2 linked regions of the Coturnix japonica genome follow. The protein of the gene in region 1 purifies or fractionates together with the protein of each later gene. This does not show direct contact. Links are inferred from orthologs where the notes say so. Each region holds a gene or a part of one and is shown in the gene's direction. Other genes may lie near its edges. The genes, in order: RET and STAT3.

Evidence for each region.
Region 2: the proteins of RET (region 1) and STAT3 purify together in Homo sapiens (affinity purification with western blotting; 3 studies listed by BioGRID and IntAct, with this or other methods). This does not show direct contact. The link is inferred for Coturnix japonica from reciprocal best matches to the Homo sapiens genes RET and STAT3.

What each region holds. Positions count from the first base shown.
Region 1 is NC_029521.1:3,897,123-3,900,930, reverse strand, and holds part of RET (proto-oncogene tyrosine-protein kinase receptor Ret), read left to right. Parts: intron 1-91; coding exon 92-348; intron 349-1,492; coding exon 1,493-1,640; intron 1,641-3,808. UniProt on the Homo sapiens protein: Receptor tyrosine-protein kinase involved in numerous cellular mechanisms including cell proliferation, neuronal navigation, cell migration, and cell differentiation in response to glia cell line-derived growth family factors (GDNF, NRTN, ARTN, PSPN and GDF15).
Region 2 is NC_029542.1:4,508,305-4,512,753, reverse strand, and holds the end of STAT3 (signal transducer and activator of transcription 3), read left to right. Parts: intron 1-15; coding exon 16-68; intron 69-155; coding exon 156-250; intron 251-549; coding exon 550-689; intron 690-1,049; coding exon 1,050-1,265; intron 1,266-1,488; coding exon 1,489-1,531; coding exon of another isoform or gene 1,532-1,535; intron 1,536-1,810; coding exon 1,811-1,923; intron 1,924-2,021; coding exon 2,022-2,077; 3' UTR 2,078-3,833; downstream 3,834-4,449. UniProt on the Homo sapiens protein: Signal transducer and transcription activator that mediates cellular responses to interleukins, KITLG/SCF, LEP and other growth factors. Once activated, recruits coactivators, such as NCOA1 or MED1, to the promoter region of the target gene.

The sequences.
Region 1 (3,808 bases):
TTCTTTTTCTGTCATACCCGTGTGTCAAATCTGCCAAATTGAAACTTGGGAACAGCAAACAAAGTTCTAATAAATTGTTCTTGGTCCACAGAGCAATTTTGTGATGAAGTGTGCAAGACTGTGATAGCAGGGGCAGTGCTGTTGTCCTTCATCATCTCTGTGCTGCTTTCTTCATATTTCATCCATCGCTACCACAAGAACTCTCCAAAACCACCTATTGCCTCTGCAGAAATGACATTCCGGCGCCCAGCCCAGTCATATCCCATCAGCTATTCTTCTACTAATGTCCGTCGCCCTTCTTTAGACTCCATGGAGAACCAGGTGTCTGTAGACACCTTTAAGATACCAGTAAGCCAGATTTAATTTTACTCACTTTCTCATATCTGCCTTGTCCATAAAGAATGTTGCTTACATGTGCAGAGAACAGTTTGGAAACGCAGTCCGTTAAGAGAAGCATCAAACTCAGATAACTAACACAGAAGTGATGAGTATGTGGATGGAACTCAAGATAGTAACTGAATAAAACATTTGATTTGCTCCACAAGGAAAGTATAGGCTTCTGGATTTGTTATGTTTTAATATAACATATCATTAGTTACAATTTTTAAAATAAATGTAATTTGATGTTATTAAAATAACATAATTGTTTAAATTGTTACATCTAACATAACATTGTTAAAATAATAGTCTAAATGTAAGTTAGTAATCAGCACCTTTGTAATCTCTGTGATGAGCCCCACTATCACAGCAGGGGTAAGATTAGGGAGAAAAAAGCAAAAAGGTTGAGGTGTGGTTTTGATTCTCTTACACCCACATGAACCTATATTCCATAGGTATCAGTTGGCATGGGAGACTTACCTACACTTTAAGAATGTTTGTCCAGTCAGATTGTCATGTCTTTACTCTGGTTTCTTCTGTGTTGGTAAATCACTTTCAAGATGCAGTAGAGAAACACTGCCATATTATATGATATGTGGCAGTACCAGATCCGTTTGAAGGTCGATGCTGAGGTGTTCACTCTGCTTACTGTCTAGTCTGTTGTGTACATCTGTCACCACCTTACAAATGTAAAGCTCAGTAATACTCGTTTCCTAAGAGGAGGACTATTGCGTCTGACGAACTCTTATTCTGCAAGTGAAATTGATGAACTTCTCTCTGCAGTCTATGATCACTTATTCATAGTTATTCTGAAAGCAAGCATTTATTTTTCATCACTTTGTTTCATGTGTGACTGTTTTCCAAGTCTTTTAAATATGATCTATCATCCACTGGCTTTTTGAAGGATGTAATTTAGAGGCAGTGATAAAAGATTTGCAAAACACTTACAGGTTCAGAAGTTTTCGGAGCAACGCACTCATTAATAACAAAGACCAACCAAAGCTGTACACCAAAGTGCACCCACTCCTGAAGAATCCTTTCCTGTTGACCATTCTGATGCACCTAGACACTCCTGTTTTGATCATTCTTATAGGGTTCCTTTTCTTTCCTGCAGGAAGATCCAAAGTGGGAATTCCCTCGGAAGAACCTGGTTCTAGGCAAGACTCTTGGAGAAGGAGAATTTGGAAAGGTTGTCAAGGCAACAGCTTTCAGACTCAAGGGAAGAGCTGGCTATACTACTGTGGCAGTGAAAATGCTAAAAGGTACCTTCCCCTCTGATTTTGAAATTATTGGAAGACTGTTGCAGCCTCTGCACTGATTTTAAAATGGGCTAATATGAAACTAAAAGGTCAGCTACCAACAGCCAGTGCCGTAGCCTCAATTTCTTCCAGAAGACTCTTTATTCTGACAGATTTCTGACTGCAGGGCAGCTGGCACCACACTGATACAAATAAGTGGCATCCACAGTCAGTTTTAATTCATGATTTTCAGGGGCTCTGTCTTAGCAGAGTGAATGCGTTTGTTTGGCATTACTGGAAATATTGCAAGGCTTTGCTAATGCTTCCTGATTTTCTTTTTACCTTTATGTGGTTCTCTTTAGCAGAGGTTTTAAAATAAATCACATTATAATCATGGCAAGAGAAAATAGGCCTGTTAAGTTATTTACTTTCCAAATTAAGAATTCTGTCTACTTTCTGATCTGCTTTTCAATTACAAAGTGAATCTCCCTACCCGGATATAATAGCCTAGTGCTTTCTTCTGGTGTCTTCATAAAACATTAAAGCTCGGGAAAATTGTATGCCTAGGTTTGGCTGAGATAGTAACGTGAGACACTGAGCTCTTGACTCCATCTCTTTGTAGCAGTCTTCAGCCCCACATATACCTATTTCTTTCCCATGTAAAAAAAAAAAAAAAAAGAAAAGAAATTACACTGAAAGAAAAACATGAAGAATGTATTTTGCTTGTTTGGTCTATGAAGTAGGAAGTCTTCGATATTATTGTATTTTGCAGCTAGAAGCTGAATCCATGGCTTGTAAACCACAGCTTTTACCACTTCTGGACCTGATTTCTAATGCTAAATAACAGCATTGCTAAATATAAAATGATGGGGAAAGAGGTCATTGGAAATGCTTAAACATGTTTCTTAGTCGTTTATTCACCAGAGACCGAGGGCTGAAGCAGATAATAAAGCTGTAGTTTGTAGTCCTTTTCTGTAGTTTGGTGTACTGAAACATATAAATGCACGTAGCCCCTACACAACAGGCACCTAGGAACACATGGGACAAAGACGGAAAACAAGAACCTTCGGAAAGGCTTACGGATAGAAGACACTTCCTTTAGCAGGACAGATAGTTTTAGCTGAATATACATACAAGTCCATCTTCTGCTTCTGGAGAGCAAAGATGCTGCATATTCCATCATTTTACCAAAGGAGTAAATGCATTATGCAGCACTTCCCTGCATTCCTGCAAGAGGTTTAGAGGAGATTAATCATGTGTATAAAATAAGTAAGTCTGTTCAGAATTGAAGACCAGTCAAGCAGTTCTTGCAGCATTCAGGTAACAACCTGTGTATTGCTATAAGTGGGTTTTTCTTAGTCATTATTTCTTTTCATACTCATTTGTGCACTGTCACTGATTTTCTAGCGCCTTGTCATCAGCGACATGTGACTGAGTTAAGATTTCAAGACATAGTGGTAGAAACGTTGCTTTTACTTGCAGATGATTTAACATTCAGTTTTCCCTAGCTATTAAGTGCAGAACTGACAGTAGGATGGAGTAGCCCTTTATTTTAAGCACCTTATTTAAATAAACTGATCTGACATTTACAGTAATGCTTCAGGCTCTAATGAATCCCTTTGTAATGTAAAGTACTTTGCACATAGTCACTTGAAATTTCGTTTTCCTGCCTTATTGTGGAGAACATTTGTCATTACTGGAAATATTTATCTTTTGATGTTTTAGCTTTCCTCAAGTATAAGAAAAATTGCATTAGCTCCAATCACTCTATAAAGTGCTGCCAGGAATACAGGACCCTTAATTTGGATCAGACCAACATCGTCCATTCCTTCCCTGTTATATACAACAGAACTAGCTTTATGCCCATTTGCAAAGGGTTATTCATCCTAGCATTAGGGACTCTGTGTTGTCTGATCTTTAACCAGTAAGTTAGTAGAGAAGACCTCCTGCTTTTCCCTTTAGGGAGTTCACAACTGTAAGCTGCCCAATAATAATACTCTGAAGAGTAGAGATAGAGATTCAGTGTTACAGTGACATTGAAGAGGAGCTAGACAAAAGGAAATCACTGACCTGTGGTGTCTTTATGAATGATATTTCCTTCAAAACTCAGAGTGTTCAAAGAGAAGGACTGTATGAAGAATTCTGCAAAAATAAAATGCTTTAAAGGCTAGGAAGACGTGCATGTTGTCGCA
Region 2 (4,449 bases), on another chromosome or scaffold:
CCTGTTCTCTGTCAGGGCCAGGTGTGAACTACTCTGGCTGTCAGATCACCTGGGCCAAGTTCTGCAAGGTATAATTCCCTCTCTTCCCCCAAGTGCCTCCCCTTGGTTGTTCTCCACTCTAGCTATATTCACAACCCCTCTGCTTTCTTTCTCAGGAGAACATGGCAGGCAAAGGCTTCTCTTTCTGGGTCTGGCTGGACAACATCATTGACTTGGTGAAAAAATACATCCTGGCACTGTGGAATGAAGGGTGAGTCTCAGCTGTTGTCAGTCTGATGACCCTTGGTTGTGGACCCAGGAGTCCTGTCCTTGTGGAGGCAGTACCTTGTTCCAGGTGCAGCTGAGCTCTCCTGGAATGCTTCTTCTGTCCAGGCCCTGATGGTTCAGAATGAAAACACTTGGGACTCCCCAGACAATCCCCAAAACTCTGGCTCTGCGGTGGCCAGCCAAGGCCCTGCTGCTGCCTGTCAGTGTACAGAGAACTGCCAGGATTCATGCTCTGGAATACCTGCCCCCATGTCCTGACCAAGCCTTGTTCCCTGCACCCAGGTACATCATGGGGTTCATCAGCAAGGAGCGGGAGCGAGCCATCCTGAGCACCAAACCTCCAGGAACCTTCCTCCTGCGCTTCAGTGAGAGCAGCAAGGAGGGCGGCATCACCTTCACATGGGTGGAGAAGGACATCAGTGGTACGTTGCTCTCCACCTCTGCCCTGGGTGTGCTGTTTTTCTCAGCCAGCCTTCCTGGCTCCAAAGTGGGATTTGGACCATGGCTTCATTCCCCTAATGAGGCATTTGTGCTTGTCGTCATGGCTCTTGTCCCTGGTTAAGTCTTTGAGCCTGGGCATCTTTTTCTGGTCCCTGCATCCTGACTGCCCCCACCCACATGCACTGAAGCAGGTCTGTCCTGCCATGTGCTCTGCTAGGCGCCTCGTGAGGTTAAGCACAACCCCAGGTGACTTTGTCCCATCTGGGGAGCTTGAGAAATGTCCCTGCCTTTGCCCTAGGACTGCAGGTGTCTTGCCCTGTGTCTAAAGTCTTCTCATACAGGAAAGACTCAGATCCAGTCTGTGGAACCTTACACCAAACAACAGCTGAACAGCATGTCATTTGCGGAAATCATCATGGGCTACAAAATCATGGATGCCACCAACATTCTGGTGTCTCCCCTGGTGTATCTGTACCCCGACATCCCAAAAGAGGAGGCATTTGGGAAGTACTGCCGCTCTGAGAGCCAGGAACACTCAGAAGCCACTGACTCAGGTAGTCGTTGATTTTCTGCGTCCCAGCACAGCTCCTGCCTGTGGAATGGCTGCAGGGACAGCACTCTGATGGAAAACTGCATCCATTAGGGGATCCCGTGTTGGTCATAGGATGGCCTAGGGACCCTGTGGGTGTGGGCAGTGCACAAAGGCTGTCTGCAGGGCTGTGAGGAGGGGAGTGGGGTTCCTCCACCTGCAGATGGTGACCAGGCTGTGCTCTCATTCAGGTGCTGCTCCATACCTGAAGACAAAGTTCATCTGTGTCACCCCGTAAGTGTTCCTGGAGGTATCTGTAAGCTCGGGGGAACATTCACAAGCTCAGCCTTGCCACAAACGCTTTGTCTGTATCGGGGGAGGGGACGGGGACTGCAGTGGAGCTGAGCCAGGTGGCAGTGTGCTGCCCACACTACTGCTGGGCCGCTCTCCCTTCGAGGGCCCCTTTGCCTTCCAGAGGGCTCCCAGCTGCCTGCACTGTGCCCTGGGGCCCGCTGGAGGGGCCGGAGGTGTCTGCTCTGGCCGGGCTCTGATGCTTTTTCCTCTTTCTGACAGCACCTCTTTCAGCAATACCATTGACCTGCCCATGTCTCCACGCACCCTTGACTCCCTCATGCAGTTTGGCAATGGTAGCGAGGGAGCGGAGGCCAACGCAGGAGGCCAGTTTGGTGAGTCTGGTGGGACCCAGCGCCCAAAGGTGTCCTGGTGATAGCAGGACCCCGGGTCAGGGCGCAGCCCCTGTAACTCCTGCCTGCGTTTTGCACAGAGTCGCTGACCTTCGACATGGAGCTGACCCAGGAGTGTGCTTCTTCACCAATGTGACACGCTGTGCTGGCACCTGCAGGACCCACGTGGCTCCAAATCCTTCTTGGTCACATTTGCTCTGGGCCTTTTCTTGAGAGGAGCTGGGGGCTGTGATCCTTGCCACCGACTCCTTGTTTTACCCAGACGAACAGACACTCTGTGCTGTGGTGCTGTTCGCCTCTTTGGGGGGAAGGGGTTGAACCTTTTTCTATTTCCTTCCATAACAGTTTTTTATTATTGTTTTGCTCATTCAAGTGCCTATTAGCCTCCGATTGCAGCCTCAGTTTTTACCAATGCTTCTGCAGCCCCTGCCGTGCTGCCTGCTGTTGAAAGCTGCTTTCTTGACTGCCAGTGTCTGGAAATCCACAGTCCAGTGAGTCTGGATCTGAGAGGGTATCGGCCAGACCCAGTCTCCCTGCGGGTGATCTGTGCTGTGCAGCAGCTGCCCAGCAGCCATTAGAACCTACAGAGGAATCTCATCTCTGTTTTCCCTTTGTCCCACTTGTGGCCCAGAGGGTGTGAGTGGCTCTGTGCTGCAGGGTGGAGGAACACAAGGGTGATGTGGAGGGCTTTGCTGTGCTCTGCCAGGAGCAGGGAGTGTCAGTGCTTAGTGCTGCCTTCCTGCTGTGGGCAGAGACCACGGTTCCAGCAGCCCTGAGCTCCACGTCTTTCCCTGTGCTGTAGTGGGGAAGGGCAGGGAGGCATCCTGGCAGCAGTGTGTGCTTGTGAGCACACATCTACATCTTGGGTCCTTCCTAGGACCAGGAGGCTGCTCCTGACCCTCGGTGGCCCCTTGGCCAGACTTGTGACAGGAGCAAAGTGAGACCTTTCAGAGCAGGGGAGCAGGGGCTGCTGCTGTCCAGTCTGCCCTGCAGTGGGTGTCCAGGCTCTGTAGTACAGTGTGCGATGTTCCAGGCAGTGGGTTTGCAGCTTCTCAGGCGCTTTGTGTGGCACTTTGTTGGAGGTTGGCTGTCAGTGTTAAGTTAGGAGGTGATAAGGGTTGAAGGAAGGAAGGTGGATGAAGGGAGAGGAATCTGCCTGAGGGGCAGCAGCAGGTATAGGTGCACTGATGCTGCAGGCAGTAAGACTCCTTACGCTGGAGGTCAGGGAAGGTTGGGAGCTGTGCTGACTAATGGTTGTTCGGTATTTACCCAAGTGTAGGGAGCCCTCCTGCCCTTTCCAGGCGTGGGTTTCTGTTCCATCCCTGAGCAAAAATGGGAGGGAGCGGCAGCGTGAGGGTCGTGTGCTTCCCCAGAGCAGCAGGAATCTCCATGCAGTGAGGTGGGAGCATGGGGCAGGGCCCAGCAGCTGTGGGTAACACCAGCAGAGAAACTTCTGGGCTCCGGCACAGGGCTGTAATGGTTCTGGTGCTCTGGCTAGAGATGCTCTGTTTGTACCCATAGCAATGCTGTGGTGCAGGGGGTCCCTGTCCATCAGCTGTGCAGAGAGTCAAGGCAGTGCCAAAGGCAGCATCATTCCCCTGTGCCCCCTCGCTGTGGGCTGGGGGCAGCCCCTGGGCAGCACCGGACACGGTGTGAGGGCAGGGCAGGGGTCTCGGGGCTGCCCATAGATGCAGAACGGTGGCCCCCTGCAGTCAGTGGGCGCTCAGAGGGCACAAGGTCTGTTGCTCGTCCCTGTGCTGATGTGTCGCTGCCTCTGGCTGCCGTCAATGGCGCCCCTGGGCCACATTCAAAACCGTACAAATTTTTATGTTTTTGTATATTTTATTGCTGTATCTACAGGCTTTGACTCCAAAATAAAGGCTCTAAAGCGGCCCCGTCTCCCATTCGTCTCCCTCAGCTCCGGGAACCGACCCCTCCGTGAGCGCCGTGGTTTGCGTGGGCAGCTGTGAGCGCGGGGTCCCGGCTGCGCCAACGTGGGGCACAAGCGGCGCGTGGCTGCGCTCTGCTTGCGTCAAGGAAACCTCGGTGCCAGCGTGGGAGGCCGGGACGGGGCCGGGACCCTTTGGGGCCTTGTGCTGGGGGGGGGGGTGGCAGCCGGCCTGGGGATACGGCGGAGCGCATGGGCTGCTCCCCAGGATGGGGGTCGGGCAGAGGGGGCGTCCCCCTCTTTGTGTCCGCAGCGTTGGCTGCAGGGGCGGCTGCTTTGGGGACGGCCGGGGCTACGGCTGCAGCGTGGGGCTGCCCTGCCCCCTCGTGGGGATGCGCTGGAGTGGGCAGCGAGCGCTGCTGCATCAAACGCTGCGCGGGCTGCAGCCCGAGCTGAGCCCCAGCACAGCAGCATTGCGGCTCCCCGGGCTGTGCAGCGCTGTGCAATGCAGGAGCAGGATGGGAAGGTGCAGGCAGGAGATGGCAGATACACCGGCACTTGTATTCCCACCACCTGTGGCCCTCAGTGGAGCAGAGGTGGATGCAGCAGCAGAATGAATG